Linked DNA regions of Caenorhabditis elegans. The protein of the gene in region 1 interacts with the protein of each later gene in a pairwise test. Each region holds a gene or a part of one and is shown in the gene's direction. Other genes may lie near its edges. The genes, in order: lin-56, meg-4 and set-14.

Evidence for each region.
Region 2: the proteins of lin-56 (region 1) and meg-4 interact in a two-hybrid assay, tested with the Caenorhabditis elegans proteins (one large-scale study listed by BioGRID).
Region 3: the proteins of lin-56 (region 1) and set-14 interact in a two-hybrid assay, tested with the Caenorhabditis elegans proteins (one large-scale study listed by BioGRID).

Annotation. Positions count from the first base shown.
Region 1 is NC_003280.10:10,446,630-10,453,967, forward strand, and holds lin-56 (Protein lin-56), read left to right. Parts: upstream 1-3,377; 5' UTR 3,378-4,140; coding exon 4,141-4,314; intron 4,315-4,407; coding exon 4,408-4,614; intron 4,615-4,670; coding exon 4,671-4,775; intron 4,776-4,830; coding exon 4,831-5,313; 3' UTR 5,314-5,376; downstream 5,377-7,338. Other genes in the region: putative adenylate kinase isoenzyme ZK673.2, read left to right, coding at 1,648-1,789, 1,856-2,046, 2,180-2,278, 2,329-2,447, 3,127-3,244; ZK673.4 (uncharacterized protein), read left to right, coding at 6,291-6,381, 6,518-6,678, 7,126-7,299. UniProt on the Caenorhabditis elegans protein: Required for translation, stability and/or localization of lin-15a.
Region 2 is NC_003284.9:1,679,631-1,688,306, forward strand, and holds meg-4 (J domain-containing protein), read left to right. Parts: upstream 1-3,323; 5' UTR 3,324-3,325; coding exon 3,326-3,383; intron 3,384-3,429; coding exon 3,430-4,900; intron 4,901-4,948; coding exon 4,949-5,032; intron 5,033-5,080; coding exon 5,081-5,227; intron 5,228-5,275; coding exon 5,276-5,410; intron 5,411-5,925; coding exon 5,926-6,203; intron 6,204-6,252; coding exon 6,253-6,578; 3' UTR 6,579-6,789; downstream 6,790-8,676. Other genes in the region: C36C9.11 (Transposase), read left to right, coding at 7,910-7,948, 8,000-8,052, 8,391-8,427.
Region 3 is NC_003280.10:10,793,095-10,801,156, reverse strand, and holds set-14 (SET domain-containing protein 14), read left to right. Parts: upstream 1-4,862; 5' UTR 4,863-4,868; coding exon 4,869-5,072; intron 5,073-5,126; coding exon 5,127-5,488; intron 5,489-5,684; coding exon 5,685-5,802; intron 5,803-5,856; coding exon 5,857-6,212; intron 6,213-7,073; coding exon 7,074-7,323; 3' UTR 7,324-7,562; downstream 7,563-8,062. Other genes in the region: npp-19 (Nucleoporin NUP35), read left to right, coding at 2,681-2,754, 2,821-2,894, 2,944-3,216, 3,267-3,658, 3,709-3,893, 4,073-4,139, 4,183-4,263; vps-11 (Vacuolar protein sorting-associated protein 11 homolog), read left to right, coding at 7,665-7,831.

The DNA of each region.
Region 1 (7,338 bases):
CAAACAATTTTTTTTTGAATGTTCGCTGGTAAAAATTGAATAATATTAAATGAAGTTGTCCGTGCAAACTTCCCTAAAGTTTGAGTTACTCTAATCCAAATAATCTAGTTTTTAAAATATCTATCCTAAAATTTTAGTTCTATGGAATAGTCCAAAGTATCTTTCATCGATGACATCATGTTGTTAGTTTATACCAGTAATGTGACAGTGTAGGCCAAACAAGTGTGAAGGTCGAATGAAATTTCGCTATTATTTTTCATTTATATGTCTGTCAAACCATTTTCCATTTTGAACACTTTATTCCAATTTTAAGTAATCAATTTCTTTATTCTCTAGGAAAATGCTCACGTGAAAATTTAAAAGTGGAGAGTGTGTAAATTTAGAGTTTTCAAGCTTCCAATCGGCAAATATTTGCTTTAATTTCATTTTTATGCAGAGAGCGGAGGAGCACACATACTGTTCAGGTGCCAAGAGGTCGTATTTGCTGTCTTATCATATGGTTTGGTTTGGCGCCAGAAGGAGGTCGGATATCCGTTAACCTCTAAAGTTTCGATGGCATCAGTTGGTGTTCTAGCTTTCTAACTGATCAGGTGCCATTGCTCACGTGGCTCCTGGTGATCTTGATTCTATCATCACATAGTTGTCTTTAGAGTTAACTCCGATGTATTGGCTGAATATTGTAGAAAAAGTCCTTGATCTTCTCATGAATACATTCCTCACGATTCACAATCTGCAATAAACCACCAGCAATTAATATTATGGTTATCTAGTACATACGAAAGAATGACCTAGGTTCTTTGCACCCTGTAGAACCTGTTTTTCCGTATCTCTTCATCGTGATTTAATTTGATTCGTCGATCGGTTTCCCCCATGTTATCATAGTGTAAAACCATGATGAAGCCTAATCATGTGGTGTGCACTCATTTTCTTATCATTTTTGCAGAAAAAATGTTTGATGACGAGCCATTCTCGTGGCGTCACATTGACATGCTTCCAGTTGTTAAATTTTTTCGAACCAACTGACGTTGTTGATAGAAAATTCGCATATTTCTTGGAATCATATGTCCTATCTCAGTGCACATGGAACGTCTAAAGAATGTGAGAAAGAACGGCAGAAGCTCATGATTCGATGTTTTTTTCCCATCCAGTCTGGTCAACTGTGATATTCCATGAACAGTCACACGTCTGCTCGTTCTTTCGGCCTGTTTCTTCTGTTCCTCCGCCAAATCACTCGTCATTTGCGTCTTTCTTCTCATGACGACCACTGCATGGATGGCTTTAAATTGTTGGTAGCCAACATTTTTCTTCTTTTTTTTTCTCTGTTTTTCAACTCATTCGGTTAGAGTTTAAGATTCGTTGAGTTTGGCACGTTTTCTGCTTGCAATCGGATATCTGTGGAGTTTAAAACACATATGTTCTTTTCTTTGCAAATTTGCTTGAACTATTCTCAAGTTTTCTCAAAATAATATATTTATCACCTTCTAGTTTTACTGATACGTTTAGTCAGAAGCCTTTTAAAACTATATAATTCTGGGATTTTCTTTTATTACATTCATCCTTACTCAATTTTAATTGCTTCTTTATACTTTATTATTCTATTCTATGATTTTCAGAACTTTAATTTCCACTTTTTCAGCCGAAAAACTAATGTATCGAGTGCTTTTGAGTGGTGCTGCTGGCAGCGGAAAGGGAACAATTGCACGAATGCTCGTGCGAGAATTCGAACCCCTAGGATTCAATTATTTCGCTGCTGGAGACTTTATTCGCGATCATATTGCCAGAGGGACAGGTAAGCATTGATAATTTCTGCCATTTAAAAGAAAATTAGTTTAAAAAAACCATTAAAATTTTGCAGAATTCGGAGTTCGTGCACAATCGTTCCTCAACAAGGGCGAGCACGTTCCAGACAGTATTCTGAACGGAGCCATACTGGCGGAGATGCTTAAAGCAGGACCACGTGTCGTTCTCGACGGATATCCACGAAACATGAGCCAGCTGAAAATGGTTGAAGAGCAGGCGCCGTTGAATTTGATCGTTGAATTGAAGGTTTGTGTTTTTTGTTTTTGAAAAAAAACAAAAATTTTTAAAAGTGGGTTTTTGAAAAAAAAAACAATTTTTAAAAGTGGGTTTTTGAAATAAAATTAAACAAGAAACGAAAAAAAAACAAATATTTTTAAAGGTTCCTCGCAAAGTGCTCATCGATCGTTTGTCAAAGCAATTGGTGCATCCAGCATCCGGAAGAGCATACAATTTGGAAGTGAATCCACCAAAGGAGGAGGTCAGCCGATTTTAAAAAAATTAATTCCTGTTTTAATGAATTATTTACAGGGCAAAGACGATATCACGGGAGAGCCACTGTTCAAGCGAAGCACGGATCAGTTGGAGGTGGCAAGAAGGAGGCTTGAGGTTTACGATAAGACAGAAAACAAGGTGTTGGACTATTATAAGTGAGTTTTGTTTTTGAAAATCTATAAAAAATGTTGAAATGTTGAAAAAAAAACATAAAAATTCTTCGAAGCAATTATTTTGCCTCGGCGATTATTCCATTACGTAATAGGGTTTAAAAATTTCTCCTATTAACCATACACGAAATTTTGTAATTTTTAAACCAAAAACCGACAATTTTTAGTTGGATGCGAATTTTAACTGTAATAAACGTTCGTTTAATTTGTTTTTGCAAATAAATATTTATATTTTAAATGAAAAAATTCGAAAAATCAATGAAAATTCCGCTGCGGCTAAAGTTTGAAACTACAGTACTCCTTAAAGGCGCACACACATTTTTCCATTCAACATAAGTTTGTCCTGTCGAGACCGGGTACCGTATATTTCGCTCAAAATTCCACTTCTATGTAATATACATTTATGGGTAATCAAAAAATGTGACCGTTGTTCAGAAAATAATTCACTTTCAAGAAAATGAAGTATCCTTGTTGAAAACTTAGATGATCAAAAATTAGATTAGACTGCCTAATTTTCAAGATTGAAACCTCTGTCTTCAACAAACCTGTACCTTTTTTTCATAAAAGTAAGCTATTTTTTGAAAAAACGATCTCATTGACATTGTTTGAGAGCGTTATTGGCAAATAGCTAAATTTACTTAATTAACACTTTTCTCATTTCCAGGAAGCAAAACAAGTGCATCACAATGTCTGGTGAATCATCGAAAGCCGTATTCGAGTCGGTTGCCGAAGTGATGCGTCGTGATCTTTTGACGACAACTCCAAGAACTGCATACGCATAAGTTCTACACTGAATACTGTATCCTATTTCTCTAACCATCCAGACCTTTGAACACCCATTGAACCATTTGATTACGGGTTAGTCTCCCTAGAAAATCGAATTAATTCTGCTGTTTTTTCTTCTCTCTTCCTTTCTCCATGAACGCTTTATTTCGGTTTGCCCCATGTTTTCCCCTGTTATCCAACAATTTTCCTATATCTGAAAACGGATTTTTGAAATCCAATATTTCTTAAATTTTTTCTCGACACGACACACATGATTTTATACACATGATTTTTCATTTATTTGTTTTCTTATTTTCTTCTCTTCAAGTTATGGGTATTTTTGCGTGTAAATGAAAATCTTTTCATATTTCTAAAATTTGTTTTCAAGTTCTTCATTTGCGGATTTTGACCGTAGGCTTCATGTTTACAGGATAGAAGAGAAGACAGAGAGAGACGACTTTTTCGCTGAAAATACGGTACCTCGTCTCGACACGACAACTTCTCGATAACTGAACAATATAAAGACATTAATTTTTAACACATCGTGAGAATCGAAAAAATCGATAAAAATTGGGAATAAACGAGAGTTTCAACCTACAGTACTCTTTAAAGGCGCATACTTTTTCTCGTTAAACATAAATTAGTCGTGTCGAGACCAAGTACCAAATTTTTAACGAAAAATTGTAACATTTCGAGTCTGTAATATTTAAGGAAATAATGAATGTCCTCGCAAAAAATATGTTCAAGTAAAGAGAGTGCAAACGCGCTCTGTTGAAAATTCAAAAGAAATGGGAGACGCAGAGGAGAGAAACGAAATTTCCCGATTTCTCTCCTTCATTCGTTTAATTTACAATCTATATTGCAAAAAACTAGATATTTTGTGGCATTTTTACAATTAAAAAACCTTTAAAAAATGGATCACCATGCTATGTACCGAACCGCTGAATTCAACAAAACTACTGTCCGATTATTGGCGGAATTCATCGAAAAGACTGGGCAGAATGCGACGATAGTGAATATGGACAGCTTTTTGGAGTTCTTTGCGTATTTGAATCCCACGGCTCCAATTCCAACGGTTCCAGAAATTGTGAGTTTTATTTATTTTTTTTTTGCAGATTTTTTGCAGAGACTTGAAAAAGTAAATAGTTTTAATATTATAATTTAAAAACATGTATTTCAGGAAAAACAATTATTGCTAAAATCACCGATTCGTTGCATTGTGTGTGGAATGGAAACTGAATCAGATTCCGCAGTGACATTAAGCATCGATAATGCTTCAATTATTCTCACAGCGACAGTAATTGGTTACTGTAGAGATCCAAGTGATGCAGTTAATCAAATTCGAAAGGAGAGTCTTCGAGCATGCACGAAACATTTCAACAGTATTGTAAGTTTTAATTTAAATTGAAAAGGAAAAAATTAAAAAAAAAGATTTAATTCCAGTTCCATGTCATCTTCGAAGGACTGCAAATCGAGAACACCTACTGTGCTCATCATGCAAAATACAGTCTTGCCAATCGTTGGTGCAAAGTCTACACGATGATTCGAGTAAGTTATTTAATTGGAAATTTAATAAAGTTAAATTTAAAATAAAAATTTTCAGTCTTCCCTGGGCGAGCAGTTCACAAAGTTCGATGTGCGCAATTTTAAATCAATATTGCAATCATTTTTGGATACTTTTGGTGAAATTGATGACGACAAAAAGGATAAAGAATCTTCTCATTTTGATGAATGTTTTGAAGAAATGGATTCAGAAAACGTAGAAATTAAAATGGAGAGCCCACAAGAAGAAGCTGCAGAGAAATCGAAGTTTTCTGAAAACCTAGTGGAGGTAAAACTGGAACCAATTGAAACTCATGAACTTGACAAAACTATATCCGACTTTTCTTCAAGTGATATAATTGATTCGTCCCAAAAACTGCAGCAAAATGGTTTTCCTGAAAAAGTGGAGCAAATGGACAAATATAGCAACAAATTGAAAGATGAAGCTTCAGACAAAAAGTATGAAAAGCCAGGAAAAAAGGACTACGTTGAAGAAGAGGGATACTGGGCGCCGATCACCGACAGCGAGGATGATGAAGCCTGAATTTATTTAATCAAACGTTTTGGAAATTTTTTTTGTTTTTGTCAATAAAACCATATAACAATTTTCCTGCACAACCAATACATTGAATCGAATCTTTTAGCCTCCAGAGTGCACAAATCTATAAATTTTTCAGGACTTGTTGTAATTTCGCATGATTTTGATGTGCCTCTTAAAGGCGCCCGGATTTATCCAGATGAGTCTTGGCACGCAAAAAAGTTTTTGCCGTTTTTGATCCATTTTCTGTTAAAAATTATTTTAAATCAGTTTTCGCATTACAAAAACTATTTTTTTTCATCAAAAAATGTGTGATTTTCTGTTTGTCGGCCAGGAAATAAAAAGAAAGCAACACAATTCGCAAAAAACTATGTTTTTTCATTGAGAAATGCAAGGAGAATAAACTAGAAAGCTGCCACAAAAAATAATACCATCAACTTTTATCGTGCCGAGACCCATCTGGATGAATCCGTGCGCCTTTAATAAGAAATGTCAAAATCTTGTGAAATTACAATATATCTATTTTTTGCACAATTAATATTTTGTATCGAGTTATTTAGCGCTGGAAATGCCCGAGAAATATTTCAGATTTCCAAATGTTTTGTTTTATTGCAAAAAACACGAAGACTACTGAACGCGCACACAGCCGAACACCAAATTGTAAACGCGCTCCGCTGAGTGTGCCGAAAAAGTCGGTGGTCGTCGGTGCTTGGTAAATACGTATTGATTTTCCAATTGCCAGCCACGGCAACCGGGTTGCCGAATGACTTGACATGTTTCATCTTCAAACTTACTCTGCATTTATGAACAGGAATGTGGATCCAAAATCGTGGTGGCTCACCGAGAAGGTAATTGCCGAGTTGCCGTAACCTAGCAACCGGCAATTATACCCACATTCTCTCAATTCTTAGTTTTTCCTCACTTCATTTTTTCTGTAGATAAATATCTGAGTTTTCCTTTTATTATTTTAATTCTTTTTTCAGATGTCTAAAATTGCAAAGTTCTACGATGCTATAGAAGAAGGAAGATTTAGATGCAAAATTTGTAATTATATCGGAAAAAGAGGACAACAAGGTGATTTGGATTTAAAAAAACATTTTAGAGATCGACTTTCTGTAAATCTCTAGAGCAAAACCATATAGTTTCTGAATCTAAAAGCTACCGTAGTTTTTTTTTTTTTTAATTTCCATCAATTTCAGTATTTTTTCAGGTTCCACGTATCCACAGATCAAACATATGAAAAGGTTACATCCAAATGAGTTTGCAGAAGTTGACGGATCACAGCCTCCGCAAGTTACTCTCAATACAACTACTCCACCTACAGTACTCCCAGTGGCTCCAAAAGTGGAAAAAATGGAACTGAAAGCAGATGTAGGTATTCTTAATTATAGATACAATTGCAGTTCACATTAATCGGGCAAGATTCAATGAAAAATTAAATTATTCAGTGAGAAAAACAATGTTTAAAAAACGTTATTTTTTTCATCAAAGAATGTTTTAAAAATGTTCAACATTAAAAACAGCCAATTTTTATAAAAAATTTGGCATTTTACCAAAACTTTCAACTTTGGAAGTCGATCAAAAACATCGGTTTTTTCTAAAAATTTGTTGATTACGTTCCAAATACTTATTTTTAAATATGCAATAATTTTCTAAATTTTTATTTTTTATTTTTTTATTTTTTTAATTCCAAATTTTGTAAAAGTAAAGTATAAGTGGAATTTTGGCAATTTACCAAAACGTTAACTGAGATTAAAAAAACCCACATTTTAGACAAGGTGAAATTTATTTCTCAATTATTAAATTTTTCTATTTCAGATGCTTTGCCAGCCATCCGATGAGCAACTGCGATTCCACAATCAAACTACAAATTTAATAACGAGTTTTCTTCGAAAATGTGGATTACCTGCTAATCTTGTTAATAATGCTAGCTTCATCTCTGTCCTACGACATTTAAATCCATTGGTGATGATCCCGAGTGCGGATGTTGTGGTAAGTCAGATCAATGCACTTCAATGTAGATCTTCAACC
Region 2 (8,676 bases), on another chromosome or scaffold:
AATGGTGCCAGAATGACCGAATATAATAATGTAAAACTTTTCACAAAAAAAGTTTGAAAGTTGTCAAAAAATGACAGTTACTCAGTTGATAAATTGGAATTGCTGGTAAAGCCAACCGACAGCCGACCGACAAATTTTCGTCTGATAGAAAATTTATAGGATAGTAAAAATTTTAGCAGAGCTCGCTGTACCAGCTGAAAGCCGAAAAAATCAGTCAGCCGCACACTCCTATTCAATTTTTTTTTTTGTTTGTTTTAAGTTCAAATTCCACTCGGATTTCAATGGTTACTTAACTGTTATTTTACGTTCTCGGTGAAAACATTGTAAATGAGAAGCAAGAATGAGATACCATTGAATGAAAAACAAAAAATTAAAACAAAAAAGTGAGCAATAAGTGTTGTATATTTACGTATCATGATAAAAAATTCAAAAAAATTTTCTAGATTTTATATGATTTTTTTGAAAATTGCAAAAATCTCAGTTTTCCCCTAATTCCTATTTGAATTTCCGCCAATTGAATTCGTTCGCTGGAGCACACTTGCATTATTTTTATTAATTTATTATATTGTTTCTCATTATTTCACTGATTTTCTTCATTCTTTGTGTATTTTTATCGGAAAAAGAGAGAAAAATTCAAGATAAATGCAAATTATTTATTTAAAAATCACTGAAAATGGGTAAAACTGTAAAATTATGAGTTCCGACGATAGCAAGCCTGAAATTAGCTTATTTCACAGTTTCACCCATTCTCAGTTATTTTTAAATAAATAATTTGCATTTATCTTCTCTCTTGTTTTCCGATAAAAATACACAAAGAATGAAGAAAATCAGTGTAATAATGAGAAAAAATAAAATAAATTAATAAAAATAATGCAAGTGCGCTCCAGCGAACGAATTCATTCGGCGGAAATTCGAATAGGAATTAGAGGAAAACTGAGATTTTTGCAATTTTCAAAAAATCATATGAAATCTAGAAAATTTTTTATCATGATATTCGGTCATTGTGGTAACATAGGCGTGTTTTAAAACAATTTCCCCATTTCGAATTTGAACTCATTATAAATACTTGCTTGGCAGTTTGGGAATTTTGGTTACAACGCATATAGAGACTTTGGAAAAGTCTCAATATTTTATAAGAAAAGCCACTCTAGAGAGATCAATTGAAAATAAAAAATAAAAAAGATCCTTTGTATGCTGCTTGCAGCTTCTCCGGCGATCGATTTCATATAATTCATTAGTGACTAGGGGTGGCAAGAGTGCGACCTAGGTCGCTAGGTCGCTGTTTTCATTTAGGTCGCATTGCGACCTGCGACCTAGCGACCTGCGACCTAGCGATCTGGGTTGCATTGCGACCTGCGACCTAGCGACCTGGGTCGCATTGCGACCTGCGACCTAGCGACCTAGGTCGCATTGCGACCTGAATTACCGACATTTTGTTCTCTTTCGGTTTTGATTCACTTGAGTTGTTAAAATCCGTATAACTCGAAAACTGCATTGCGACCTGAATTACCGACAATTTTTATACTAACAAATTGCTACAAATCATTTATTTTACATTGTTTTCGATTTCTCATCCATAAGACACCTTGTCGAAAAAAGTTAGAACAGCCGACATCCGCCGGATTTGCTGCTTTTTTCTACGTTTTTAATTCGAAAAGTGGAAAATGAAATTTTAGAAACAACAAAAACCACAAAAACGTGAACTTTTTGAAAAAATTTGCTGAAATGCATGGTTTTATTTGTAGAAATGAATTCTTTGTTCCGTACTTTTGAAAAAAAACTACGCATAAACTTATAAAATCTTAATAGAGAAAATGTTAGTGGAATATATCATACATATTCTGCAATCTTTAGTTTTCGAGTTATACGGATTTTAACAACTCAAGTGAATCAAAACCGAAAGAGAACAAAATGTCGGTAATTCAGGTCGCGATGCGACCTAGGTCGCTAGGTCGCAGGTCGCAAAGCGACCCAGGTCGCTAGGTCGCAGGTCGCAAAGCGACCCAGGTCGCTAGGTCGCAGGTCGCAATGCGACCTAGGTCGCGATGCGACCTAACCCTCTAGGTCGCAGGTCGACCTAGGTCGACCTATAGCCACCCCTATTAGTGACTCATGCTTCCGGGGGGTGCATGGCTCAGTGCCTATGCGCGCTGCTTGCAATCACAAGGTCACAAGTTCGACCCCCACCTCCTAGGTCCTTCCAGCCTTAAATGGGAATTCAGTGTTCGTTCCACTGTCTTACAGCTTACATACGGCATTTATCCAGGCAAGACCTGTAGAAAAAAACCAAAAAAAAAAAAAAAAAAAAATTTTGCCACGTGGGGCAACCTGGCAGTATTTAATGATTTCATTTTGGTATTGAAACATGAGACAGTCTAGAAAATTAATTGGCAGAAGTTATCGACCACAGTCCTCAAGATTTTCATTTGATCCCACGTGGCAAACTGTTTGAGTTTTCTTCATTTTTTCTTTGTGTCATAATTTGAAATTTTACTTGCCACATTTTCAGACATTTTTCCGTAAAGAAAATTGGCTGCTCACTTGGAAACGCTGAAATTAGTCTAAAAATCGATAATTCAGTATTAATTTTAACTTACTTTACTGAAACATTACTGAAAAATGTATGAAACTGTGAAAAATTAAAGTTTTAAGTTTTAAATCAAAGAAAATATTAAGAAAAATGTCAAAGATCAGGTCAATAATTTGCGCTGGAATTGAAAAATAATTCGGCCCTTTTTTTTTGCAAAATTGAAAAAAATCATAAAATTTCAAAGAAAATGTTCGGAATTTTTTTACAGTTTTATTCGATATTTACATTGAAACTCTATTTTGTCATTAAGGTACAAAAAACCCACAAACGCTACTCCACCTTTAAACTAACAAGTACACGGAACCAAAGATTTTTCCTTATTTTTCTTCTTCTCGTGTTTTATTCAGTGATTATCTTTCCGGTCACCAATATTCCAGAGAATTAACTATCAATATCCGACTTTTTACTCAACTGTTCCTCAAACCTCCAATACTCTTGAAAAACAGCCGGTACCATACAAACGTTTTGTGTTGTTTTGGTAATACCCCTGCCGCATTTTAACTGTGTTTTTGCCGCGCGCATGCATTCCCCTGACCGTTTCCCCACACACTATTTCGCGCTCTCTTTCTCTACCTCTCTCACTCTCTCACTTCTCGCACTCACTCACTCACAGGTCTCCATTCTTGCTTTTTGGTCCCACCGGTTTTCATTAATTCCTCTCTCCCTCATTATTTTCTTTACATTTTTACATTTTTACATTTTGTAATATTTCATTAAGTTTTTTTTGTTGCAGGTATGAGTTCTTCAAAGCTTTCCTCATGTGATCTGCCAAACTCCAGAGGAAACAGAGAAGGTAAGCATTTTTTAAATCAATTTTTTTCTTCAATTTGTAATTTCAGGTCACCGCTCTCATAGTCGAAGCAATTTGGAAAGTGCATCGAAAAATATGGGACACCACATTAGTATTGAAGAATTGTTTTATTCGTTCGTAAAGCAAGACGGTGTTCAGTCAACAAGCCGTGGATATGGTGGCAGATCTCACCACGGATCCGTGTCTTTTAACGGGAATCCTTCCATGAACGGCGACCAGTTGAATCACTCGATTAATCAATCGATGAATGCAGCTCGAGCTAACAGAAACGTCTTCAACTCATCGAGCATTCCTCCAACGGCCCCCGTGTTCTCTGCAGACTTCCGTCAAAACTCGCAGACACGCAATAACTCCAGCTGGAATCAACGGAACTTGTCAGTTTCCACTTATCAGTACAACACTCAGCAGTCAAATACAGGGCACAGTAGAAGCCGTCCGAATGGACAACTTGGCCGAAGCTTCTCGGATGGATCGAACAATCATGGCCATGCTGGGAATGTGTCATTCAGTGGGAGTTCCGTTCCAGCTGGGTTCCAGAAACAAGAAACCAAGGCTTACCAACAACTTCATGGAAATAAAAGCTTCAACGCTCAAGCTGGAGTTCAAGCTCCTGGAGATCACAAGGACAAGAGATATGGAGGCATGTTTGGAAATGAGCTTATCAATTCGATCAATTCTAGTTTTGGCCAACAGCATGATGTCTTCAAGCCGCGGAATTTGAACCAGAGCTTTTCCGGATTTACTATTAATGAAGCTTTAACAAGGAAGCATCATCAAGAAGGATCAAGAAACGATAGAAGAAGATCACATGGGAGCACTAATGTCCAGGATCGTGCTTTCTACAACACAGATGACAATGAACTGTCTGACGACGTGTTCATAGAAGATTCCAATGGTGTTGCAAACGGTCCAAAATCTGTCACTAACAAATCTCAACAACAGTCTCGCGGAACGAAGGATGCTGGCAGTCAAGTGGCGGAGAAACTGAACTCTTCCAGAGGAGCTGCTCAACGTAATCTGAAATCCAATGTGTTCAGCAAGGACGGCACCGAACTTTCTGTGGAACAGTTACTGGAAATTGTCAGCATGAAGATCGGACAACACTTGCACTCAGCTTCCAGTTCTCACGGAGAATGCAGCAATTTGAATCGGACATTACCAGCTAGAAGTGATCTAAATTGCTCAATTGGTGAAGACTTCGACTCCAGTTTTCTGGATGTAAACAATCGAACCCTGCCAGAAAATCTTTCGAAGAAAACTTCAGTGCAGAAACATCGTCGTGGAAGTTCTCGTAGTGCGTCCCGTCTCGCCAGTCTTGACGTGACGCTGGAGACTGTAGAAGAAGATGTCGAACCCACACCAAGTCCACATCCGAGTTCTCCTCCAAAGATCTCAAGAAGAAAGTGGACAGGAACTTTTGATGCCAACGTTGAGGAAATGAGACGTTTACTTCATGGGGACCCTGGGAAGCCGAAATCTACAAAACGTGCTTTCTCAAGGTATGTAGTGATAAAAAGTGAAGTATTTAGTAAAAGTTTGAATTTCAGCAAGGATCAGAGAACACCTTCCTTGTCAATCATCACAAGCCCGAAGGCTTTGATCGGAGAAAAATGTCTGACAGCATCCAACAAGTTAGTTTTACACTTGGAGCTGCTTTTTTCATTATGTTTGTATTGCAGGTCTTCAAAGATTGACAAGTCACTTGGCATGATTGATTCGAAACTCACAAAGTCACCAATGTACTCCGCCACGGTTTCTGGGAAGGAAGCAACTTCAGGAAACCGAATCGCTCGAAAGTTGACTCCAGGGCTTGATGGACTGAAAAGGTATGGAACTACAAAGAACAAACAACATTTTTAAATGTTCTTTTCCAGCTCTCATTGTACCGGAAATCCAGTTTCCATAGATTGTAATGGTTGCCCAACTCCGAAAAGAAGTGGAATCAATTGTGATAATCGTATGGCTGAAGTGAACAACCAAGCCGGGAGATGGTCCTCTGAAGCCACCAGGTAAGGCCCAAATCAATAAATTCGCAATGAGTTTCGTATTATATAAATTTCTGAATTCTCAAAAAATCGTGGATCAAACATATGGAAAATAATGTGCAAGTTGAGTAGATTGAGGTCAAGACTAGACCTCTCGAGTAAAAAAATAGAGCATTAATCTTGCACAACTCCGCAAAAAGCCCTCTGCTTTTGTCTATTGCCCAGAAGGTGTGCGGCAAATTTGTACGGTTTTGCCGAAACAACTTTGCCGAATTAGCCTAATTTGCCGTTTGCCGAGCTCAGACAATTTTGATCAAAGCTATGGATTTTGTCGCCAAAAATTTAGTAGTGCTCGGCAACTTTTGAGATTTTCCACACATCCCTGGAGCCCAGTCTAATCACTTGATATTATAATTACTAAACGGTGAATTGCGAGCCCGCTAATAAATTTAATTTCCTCAGAATATATAAATTTTTGCCGCACAGCTTGATTCGATTTCTGTAACATACTTTCCAAGTACAATTAATTTTTTTTTCAGTCAGCCTGCCCCACTCCCTTGCAAGTCAGCCAACCCGACCGAAGATTCTTCTCAAGATGCACCTCCAACTTCACCACCACCTCGTATTTCTGATAGCTTGACGGCATTCCTGGAAGCTCAACAAGACTTCAATGATTATATTGATGCTCACTACAAAGAGAAGACACAACTCTTGAAAGTGAATTTGAATATTCACGGGATGTCACCTGAAAGATGGCTGTACTTGAATTATTTTTGCACCGAGACAATTCCAAGATTGGATGGTCCTTATGCCGATGGTAAGAAAGATAAGACATATTTAATCTTGAAAAACGTAAATTTTTTCAGATCCAAGGGTTCCACCTGTGCGAAATATATTCAGAAGATGGTTTCTCCGGTTTGCTGAAGCCTGCTTAGGAAATCCAAATGACCTTGCAGTTCAGAAAGATATTGCTCTCGAGTTCGTTCAGGCTCGGCTTGACGATACGAGCAGCTCCACAGATTCCACCAATATGCTCTACATGTTGTGGAAGGAGTGTATCGGACAGAAGAATATCATCTCAATTGCTGATGCGTGTCTCCTTGTATATCTTCGGAAATCGGATCCTGTCAGATACTTGAATGCAAAACGAGAATGGCTGGAATCTATTTTTGACCCACCCAGAGATCAATGATTGTACTGATATATATCTATTTCATGTCGAGTATTTTGTATTTTATTCTTGTTCATTGACCTTTTAACCACTCTTTTTATACTCCAACTTGCTCCTTCTTGTGAATTTATTTATGGTCTGCCCAGGAACTTGTAACGGGTAGTTTTCTATTGTTATCAGGACTGCTGCTCATTCAAAATTCAAAGTTGAATTTCAATAAAGCGAATGTTTGAAATAGGTATATAATTGGCAACTGATTAGTAGAAATATGTCTCTTCTTTGGCTTTTTGTAAAAGTTAGGCAAAAAAGTGGTCACGGATTCAATTTCAAAAGCGATGCTTCAGACTTATCCGCTACGATAGCGAAGGTTCCGTTTGTACTGAAAAACACAGTAGAGGAAATTGGTATAGGCGCGTATAAATAGAATTCTAGTAGTTGACTCTGAAATATAAAAAGTTATTAACAATCCAAATTGGCAATTACTGATTATAAGGATAGGAATGTTAAGTTTTCTTAATACTACTAGATACTACCCTCTACATTTTTATTGATAGGCATGCCTACTTGCCTGCCTAACTTCATTTGAAGGTCTTCTCTTTGAACGTCCACTTGCGCCATTTCCCGCCTTAAACTTGTTGTGTTTTCCTTGGATGGCTATTTGACTAGCGATTTCAGCTTTCAAGAATGAAAACAATGTTAAGTGCTGGCCTTAGATATCCAGTGTTTCCTGTGAAATTTCATTTCAGTGGCAGCATGCCAGACCAAATCCAAAAAAACCAAAGGGGAAATTGTTAAAAACTACTCCTATGATCCCAAAATGACAAATTATCATAGTCAAAATTTTCTAGAATATCGCTTACATCCGAAGCCTAAGCCTACGCCAAGGCCTAAGCCAAATCATAGGCCTACGCATAGGCCTAAGCCTAAGCCTGATGAAATAAAACAGTATAGTTTCATTTAAATGAAACACCAGAACCATCAAAAACACTTGATTTTTTTTCAAATTTTTTTTAAACTAAAATATTTTTAAAGTTCGAAGGAAAACTGTTTAGCATCTTTTTCTTTTTGTGTGTCACTCTACATTAATATAAAATTTTATTGCAGTCCGCTACACACTTTTTCATTGTTTTTGTTTCTCTGCTCCTCTACTTTCTTATCAAAATTTTTTCCCGGAGGTATCATTTGGTCTTCCTGCGGCGGCTTGTGTGGCTGGCACCACCATTTTTTTCTGGATTAAAACAAATTAAAAAAATTTATGTATTGTATGTGTGGTGAGTTTTAAAGTTATATTAGTTTCAAGAAGCTAATTTTCATTACTTTCAGAAATTTAATTTCTGCTATCCGCACCCCGAATGTCTACAAAAAATCTTCTGACTCAAGATGGTAAATTGGTGAGTTTTTGTATCAAAAAAGTTTCGAAAACCTTCAGAAATTAATTTCAGAGTAAGAATCGGCAAGTCGAGGAGAAAAATATCTTTAATGCAAATCCCACATTGTAAGTGCTTTTCTCGAAAATCTATAATAACATGGAATAAGGTTATGGAATAATGTATACATTAGATACATAGTAGCGTCCTATAAAAATACCAAACTGCCAAAAAATATTAAAAATTTTGAAACTTCGGTCTAATTAAAAGATATCAAGCAGATAAACGCTTAAGATTAGCCCAAAACTGAAACATTTCAATTTTGAACAATCGTTAGCTAATTAAAAACTACAAGCATTAAACCGACTCCAAAATACCATTAAAAAAGCTCACGAGAATTGCGCCAGTAGCCTTCTTGGATCATTTCCAAGTAGGAGCCTATGTCATAATAATACTATATTTTCAGAGTGAATAAAATTGTCTGCGACCTCGAATCATTCTGAGACTTTTGCGAAGTCAACAAGGACATGAACATTTATGATAATTTCGACGGAATGGCATTTGACTGATAATTGTTTATATAACTGTTTCATTTTTCATATCCTTTATTATATTTCCCCTCCCCCCTTTATTCAATGTTCCCATTTTTCAACTATTCCTTTACTTTCCACTTTCTGAATTTCTTGTTTCATGTTTCAAATCCCGATTCTCATTGCCTAATCCCACAAGTTTTAAAATAAACTTGTCACAAT
Region 3 (8,062 bases), 340 kb from region 1:
TTAACTACGTGGCCGTGGAAGCAGAAAACTCGGCCACAATCATAGAATGGAAACATTTTCTTATATTTTATTCGTACGTAGGTAGACAGGCATGAAGCAGACAGATAACAAACAAGCCGGCAAGGTCCAAAATAGGCGTATAGGCACGTAGGTAGGCATGAAAGGAATGTAGGCAAGTAAGTACGCATACAGGTAGGCATGCGGTGGGCAAGTAGGTAGGTAGGTAGGATAGGTACTTAGGTTGGCATGATCTAGGCAAGTCAGGCGAGAAGCATATAGTAGGCGAATAGTTAGGCAGGTATGAAGTAGGCGTGTAGAAACATATATAGGCATAAGGTTTGAGTGTAGGCAGGCAGGCATGACGTAGGCGTCGAACTGTTTCCGTTTACCTATGCTCATTCCAAATGACAAGTGAGATCTCCCAGCTTCATAGAAATTCAGATCATTCCATCAGTAGTATAATCCCCATTGACTCGTTTATTATAAAAACTCAGAGACCACTAATAAATAAGATGCAAATCTCATTTTAAAATGCTCTTTTTCATTCCGTTTTTTTTCTTTTGATTCGAAGGGAAATATAATTATGGAAATGGCCGAGAAATGTATATAGTGTTGTAAAGGAGCAACTTTGTCTTAAATATAGAATTTACAATTAATATTAATTTCGGTGGCCTGAGACAAAATGTGATTATGAAAATGTTGAGCTTTCAATTCTATTAGCGCTGCACACGTTTCCATTTTTAGAACTCATTAAAAATCTCAAAAGCATTGAGAAGAGATAGAGAAAAAAGAAAACATCATCATCATCATCAACACATCCTGTAGAGTGCTTTTAAAAGGAAAGAAGAGAGGAAGAAAAATGTGAAAAAGAAGCGTCGAGAGCAACTTGTTGAGTGAGTGAGGGGGGCACAGAAGGATCACATCCAATTAGGATTGAATGAATGCTGTCGTACACACAAGAAAGTGGAATGGAACGATGAGTAGAATAAAAAAAGAAAAATGATGGAAAGGGATGCACTTGGGACACATTGCCGAAAAAAAAACGAATCGTTGCTATAATGTTCTTCCGCTAGTCTTCATAGATCCCGTTGCCAGGTGACCTCGTCTCCAAAAACTTTCTTAAATTTCGAAATCGGAGAATGTGTACTCCACGAGAAGAAGAGTGTGCGAAAATTGCAAATTTTGCAACCTCCGCACGGTTATGAGAATGAGAGCTCAATGAACCTTGCGGAGGTTGCAAAATCTGCAAGTTCCGCACGGTTATGTGGGTGTGGCCAATACCATCGTTTTCTATTCTCAATTTCTGTTATTACGTGGTAGTCTAAAGATGAAAGTTTTCGGGTCTCACCACGCTGAAATTGGGTTACTGTAACTGGACCAATATTGTGCCATTTTTAATATTATATTCAAATTCTTGACAGCAATTTTCGATTAAATCTGAAAATTATGATACTATGCTACCCGTAAATGGAGACGAGTTACAGTAACTCGGCGTGGCGAGACCTAAGATTTTACGAAATTTTCCCAATTTTGACGTCTACGTAATAATTCCCTCTATCCCAAAATTTGTTTTGTAACAGTACGGAAATTGTAATTTCCGTACGGTTTTATGGGAATCACAGTTTGAAAGTTTCAGTTCAAAAATCAAAATCTCATCTTCTAAGAGGCGGGGCGAAAACACCAAATTTGACGCGCAAGTTTGACTACATCATCAGGTCGCCACTTCTGCTCCAGTCAGAACCAACCACATTTTCTGAAAATAAATTACATCCGGTTCGGTCCGAAAACTAATATTAAATACAATTTTCATTCAATTCATCATCTTTTGGTTTTTTTTCTTTCTCATTTTGACCAACCCGCAAATATTATACGACACAGGGGGCTATATAGTCGTGCGCGACGAAACATTTTTCTTTCCCAAAAAAGGAATGAATTCTCATTTTATTTGATGAAGAGGCGGGAAGAAGCTCTCCGAACGTTGTGCTCTGTGTGGTCAACAAAAAAAGGTCGACGACACAGAAAAGGAATTTAATTAAATGGGGGACCCCGTCGTCGTGCATTTCTCAATTTTCTCCGTTTTTTTTTGCAATTAAAACGAGGAGGAGTGAGAAGAAACGAGTGGTGCTCGTTGAAATTTGAAAACGAAAATTAGACGAGGGAGTAGGTCAAAGGGAAATAAAAACAAAAACATCTGAAATGTGTAATTAAATTTCTAGAATTTTTTAGAATTCAATATTTTATGGATAGGTATGTACTATAGGGGTCGGCGGTATTATACAGTAACCCATACACGAATTTCACTTTTTTCAGTGTCTAGTGTTGAAGAAAAAAAATCAAAGTTCAAACAGAAAATCGACTTCATCAAAATTACAAAACATCCGATCAGAGAAAAAAAATTTTCTCTTTATTTCCCGCAGAAAACCTCCCAGCAAACTTTCACCACAAAAACCCTATTTTAAACTCCCTCCATTTTCAAGTCCGCAATTGCGCGTAGCTTTGCGTGTTTTGTCGTTGCGGACTTTGATTTTTCAAACAAAAATGTTTTTTCTTGGAACTTTTCGAACCTGTTTTCCACTTTAAAAAAGCGGTATTTTTCAATTCTTTCTTTATTTTAAATTTGAAAAACTTGTTTATTGCTTAAATTTTTAATTAAAAAGCATTTTATTTCGAAATTCAGGCCATGTTCTCGCATCTTAACCAAAATACATCCGGAAGGCATAACTCAATGGATCTCAACAATTCTAGTATTTCAAAGTGAGTAATTTGTTTCTTATTTTGCAAAAAAAAAACCAGTTTTTAATACTAAAAATCTAATTTTAGCTTCGGGACACCAGTTGAACAGTCTACGCCGGCACTTCTTTTCGGAAAGCGAAAGGCAACTGTTCCATCTTCGTGTAAGTAAAGTTTATCTTAAGTTTTCTCAAAAATATGATAATTATTTAGACACCGCTAGCCCGCTCAACACTGCATCGGCACCATGTTCGGATATTTTCGCTGTTTCTGCACCGGCAGTGCCGCAGCATTTGAAGGATACACCGGGCTCTAAATCAGTTCATTGGTCTCCATCTTTGGTGCAATCTGGTGAAAAGTCGGCGGCACAAACACAGAATACACCTGCCAACTTGTCTTTCGGAGGAAATTCATCATTTTCGGCGCCGACAAAGCCAGCTCCTCAGTCGATTCAGACATCATCTTTCGGTGGTCAAGCGATGCATGGTTAGAATTTACATTTTTTCGCGAATATTTAAAATAAAATTGATTTTCAGCACCACCTCTTCGATCTCTTCGCGACAAAGTTGAACCAGCGAAAAAGATCTCCAGACGAAATACATTCACTGCCAGATCAACACCACTTTCCACTCCAATCACTCAACGAGTCACATCCAGGTTGGCTGAAGCAGAAGAACAACCAATGGAAGAAGAAGCCGACGCAGCTGATACCTGGGTCACTGTTTTTGGATTTCAGCCAAGCCAAGTGTCGATTTTGTTGAATTTATTCTCGCGGCACGGGGAAGTAGTTAGTCATCAGACTCCATCAAAAGGAAACTTCATACATATGCGCTATTCGTGTGTCACACACGCTCAACAAGCTATTTCTCGAAACGGAACTCTCCTCGATCAGGATACATTTATTGGAGTCGTTCAGTGCACAAATAAGGTAAGTAAAAAGGATATATTTATTTTTTATTTTAATTTTAAAATTTACAGGACGTGATCAACGGCTCAGCATCCGGAATTGTTGCTCGATCATCTAACATTGCTGCAGCTGCAAACCGATCTGCTTCCATGTATAACTCATTTGTGGAGAACGATATGGCCGATCAATCAGTTAATCACAATGAGAACAGTGTGCTCAACTCGTCGAATGTTTTTGATGCAAATAACTCGCTCAAGTATGATTAGAAATTTTTAGTAAAAAATTCATAAAAATCTAAATTTTATACTTGAATCTGCTAAAGCGAAGTTTGTAGTTTGTAGTCTAGCGCTACTCCACTTTGAAAATGTGAAAAAGAAAAAGTTAATTTTTCACAATTCAATTAATATTTCCACAAAAAATTGTTTATGTTTTCAGTTCTTCTCGTATTTCCGTCCGTTCTGGTGTCGGAATGAGACCATTGGCTGCCGATCAAAGAACAAACGTAAGCATTTCATTGATTCAATCCTTCTAACCAATTAAAAAAGATTTTACAGGGAACCCCATCGGTTCGCAAGGCACCTGACGGATTGCTCAACAAGTTCTGGAACACGATCGGACTCAACTAATCTTTTTGCTCATTGGAAATATCGCCCATTTTTCTGTTTTATTTCACCATTTTTTTCTTTTGTTGTGTATCCTTCTTTTTCGAATTTCTGAAAACAGTTTCGTTTCTCACGGTTTTTCGTTCTCAAAATAATTTTATTTATTTCGGTGTATTCTCAATTTTCGGACATTTTTCCTTCCCTTCTTCCCGTCCATTCCATTCCCATTCAAAACTGATTCTATGAATTGAAATGAAGAAAACTCATATTTTTATATTGTCGATTATAGAAGACGAGTTGCTAATACTCGAAAAAAATATTTTTTCAAAAAATGAGGCTTTATTGACTGAAAAACATCGATTAAACAAATTCACTTCTATGAGTTTAAAGAAGGGCGCATTATTGCAGAATGGTCTCGGCACGAATGACATTGAAAATTGTGTGTGGGTGTGTGCCTTTAAAAATACTGTAGAGATTCTTTTATCGATTTTTCTCATTTTCTTCAATTTTTAATTTCAGAAAATTATTTACAATCGATGAAGTTTTTTTTAAATTTAATTTTTTTTATAAAATTTAATTTTAAAAAACCCGTTAAAAAAAAATTATTCAAATAATTCTTTCAGTTCCCAATGAATCTTCCCCCAGACGCCCTCCACGAAAATGTGTACGCATTTGCTCTTGCACGAGATCAAGTCGAATCATATTGTAATCAATGCCTTACGAGTATGGCAGAACTCAAAAAGTGCAGCGCCTGCCGACGGCTTGCTTATTGCTCACAAGAATGTCAAAGAGCTGACTGGAAGCTGCATAAAGTGGAGTGTAAAGCTATTAAAGTAGGAGATTTCATGGTTATATTACAATTTATTTCTAATATTTTCATATTTCAGACTCATAATGAAGTTGCGAACGACTCGATTCGACTCGTAATGAGAATTGCCGGAAAGTTGAGCAGAAACGAAGATGGAGAAATAGAAGCCTACTATATTCCGGGTGTTGCTCGCAATTTTCAAAATCTCGAGCATCATCCATCATCATATGACGCCGATGAAGAGTCTTTTGTAAAAGAATACTTTCAATTTGCGATAGCTCCCCATCCAGATCGAGATTTGATCAAATTGATATTCCAAAAAGTTTCGATAAATAGTTTTGTAGTTGGAAACTCCACGGGAAATCCAATCGGTGTTGGATTGTGCATTAAGCTGAGCGCAGCTAATCATTCCTGCAAACCATTGACTCGAGTTTGTTATAGGTAAATGCCATGAAATTTTTAGATTTTTAGGTTTTTGCCGACCGGCGCCGGTCTCGCCACGACAAGTTTCGGTTAAATTCAATTTTTCGTAGTTTCTAGGTATAAAATATAGTTATTTAATGTTTTTTAAACTTTTATAAAACGATAAAAAAACATAACAAATCGTGAGAGAAACTATGAAAATCCAATTTTACAGAAATCGTACCGCAATGCTGGTTCCAGTTTCAAGTGAACTTCCTTCAACACTGGAAGGTGCTTGTCATTCTTATATAGACGAACTAATGCCAAGAGATATGAGAAGAGATACATTAAAAGTAGGAGATTACAGGAGGTTCAACACACCCTGAAAAAAACCTCAAAATTTCCAGAAAAAATACAAATTCCTGTGCCAATGTGATGGTTGTCTTGATGAAGACCGAAACGCACGAATGGAAGCCTGGACTTGCGGGATTTGTGTGAAAGGATGGATGAGAAACAAGGAAAATGGTCAATGTGAACTGTGTGGCTGGACAATGAGCAAGGATCATTTTGAATTGTGTCGAACGGCAGAGGAAGCTGGCATCGCCGCACGTTCGAGACTTGCGAATGATGCGATTCCGTTGGAGACGAAGAGAAATTTGTGTGAAAAATTGTTAGATCTATTTCAAGACACGTTACATGATCATAATGTTCATCGTATTCCTGTGCTCAGATGTTTGTATATTTGCTCATTGGCGGCACAGAAGTAAGAATTTCTAACTGTTAAAAAATGTAGAGAATTTTTTAGAAATTATTAAAGATTTTTCAATTTTCCCAAAAAAAAAAATTAAAAAATTGGCTTATCATTTTGTACATATTTTTTTTAAAAACAACGAAAAACAAAAATAAAATAAATATTCGATTTTCCGAAAAATCAAATAAAAATTCAAAAAATTAAGCATAAAATGTGATTTTCATCTAATTTTGTTTATATTGATGAGAAAAAACATAAAAATATATTCTTAAGCTAATTTTAAAAAAACCGAAAAAAAACGAAATATCGGATAATCGAGAATTTTTCGATTTTCGATTTAAAAAAAAATCGAAAAACCGACATATAACTGTTAAAAAAAATTTATAGAATTTTTCGAAAATTTTTTTCTTCGATTTCCCATGAATGACATAATTTCGGCATTTTTGCGGTTTCTAGCTAAATTCGTCAGTTTTTCTTGTTCTTTACATGAATATTTGATTCTAAAAACCATTTCTAAAATTTTCAGACAATTTTTCATAAAGAACACTTCAAAATTGGTGTAAAAATCGTTAATTTGACATGTATTCATAATTATTTTTGTGGAAAAATGTCCGAGAAATTGAGAAATCTTGCTTAAAATCAATAACCAAAGAACAAACACCTTACTTTTACTTTTACATCCATTTGAAAATTTTTCAAAAAATTGACAAAAAATCGTAACAAATCTGGAGAAAATTTATAAATTTTTACAGCTATATTTCTACTGCTTTCTGTTTTTTTTTTCTAAAAAAAACTACATTTTTACGCTTCTAAACCAATAAATATTAACTGAATTACAAAAAATTCCACCAAAAAACATTTGTTTTCTTTCAGTATCACAGCCGCTGCCAAAACCGGCGGAACCCTTCTCTCCATCATGCTCGTCTACCAAAACACCACTGATCCGGCGATCTTATTCCAAAAATATCAACTTGCCCAACTATTTTGCGCTGCCGGAGCAAAGACACAGGCGACCAAATTGCTCCAAGAAATTGAAGAACCACTGGAAAAGATTTATACACCTGATTCAATGATTTGTAGAAACGTGTATTGTATGATTCTAAAAGCTCGAAATTTATCCTAAAATGTGTATCATAATGTGTATTTTTACAAATTTCAGCAATTTTTCCTTATTTTTTGTTATGCAAAATATTATTTATTACCTCATCTTTTCTCCCCAACTCTCTATAATATTCTTGTATATTTCGGTTGTGAATTCCCAAATTTGACATGTTTTATTGCCATCATCTTCCCTTTTTGTTCAATGATTTTCCCGTTTTCTGAAAATTTAATCAAACTCGGTAATTAATGTTTGAATTGATGATTTACGCAATTTTTCTACTTTTGTTACATTAAATGTTGGCAACCACATTAAAAATACTTTAAAAACGCCAAATTCCTCTAAAACTTTAGAAAAAATTCAGAATGACGGAATTCGGGTGGCGTCGATTCAATTTTTTCGATCGATCAGTGGTATTCGACAAGGATGATCCAAAGCAGAAATTTATGGGTTTGAAAGATGTGGCAGTTGATTGTTGGTGCAGTTCTGGAGGATCTGTGTATCTTGGAGAAGCCAAGGGCGGCGTTTTTCAGTACGTTTTTTTTTGAATTAAAAAAACAAAAATTCTGTAAAAAATTCCATTTCTGCCGAAAAAAACCAAGGAAATTCCAGTTTTGCCAAAAAAAAATCTGTTTCTGCCGAAAAAACTAAAAATTCCAGTTCTGAAATGAAAAAAGCTGAAATTTTTTTTTTCAAAATTCAAATTTTGCCAAAAAAAACCAAAAAAAAATATTTCCAAAACTAAAAAATTCAATTTTTACTT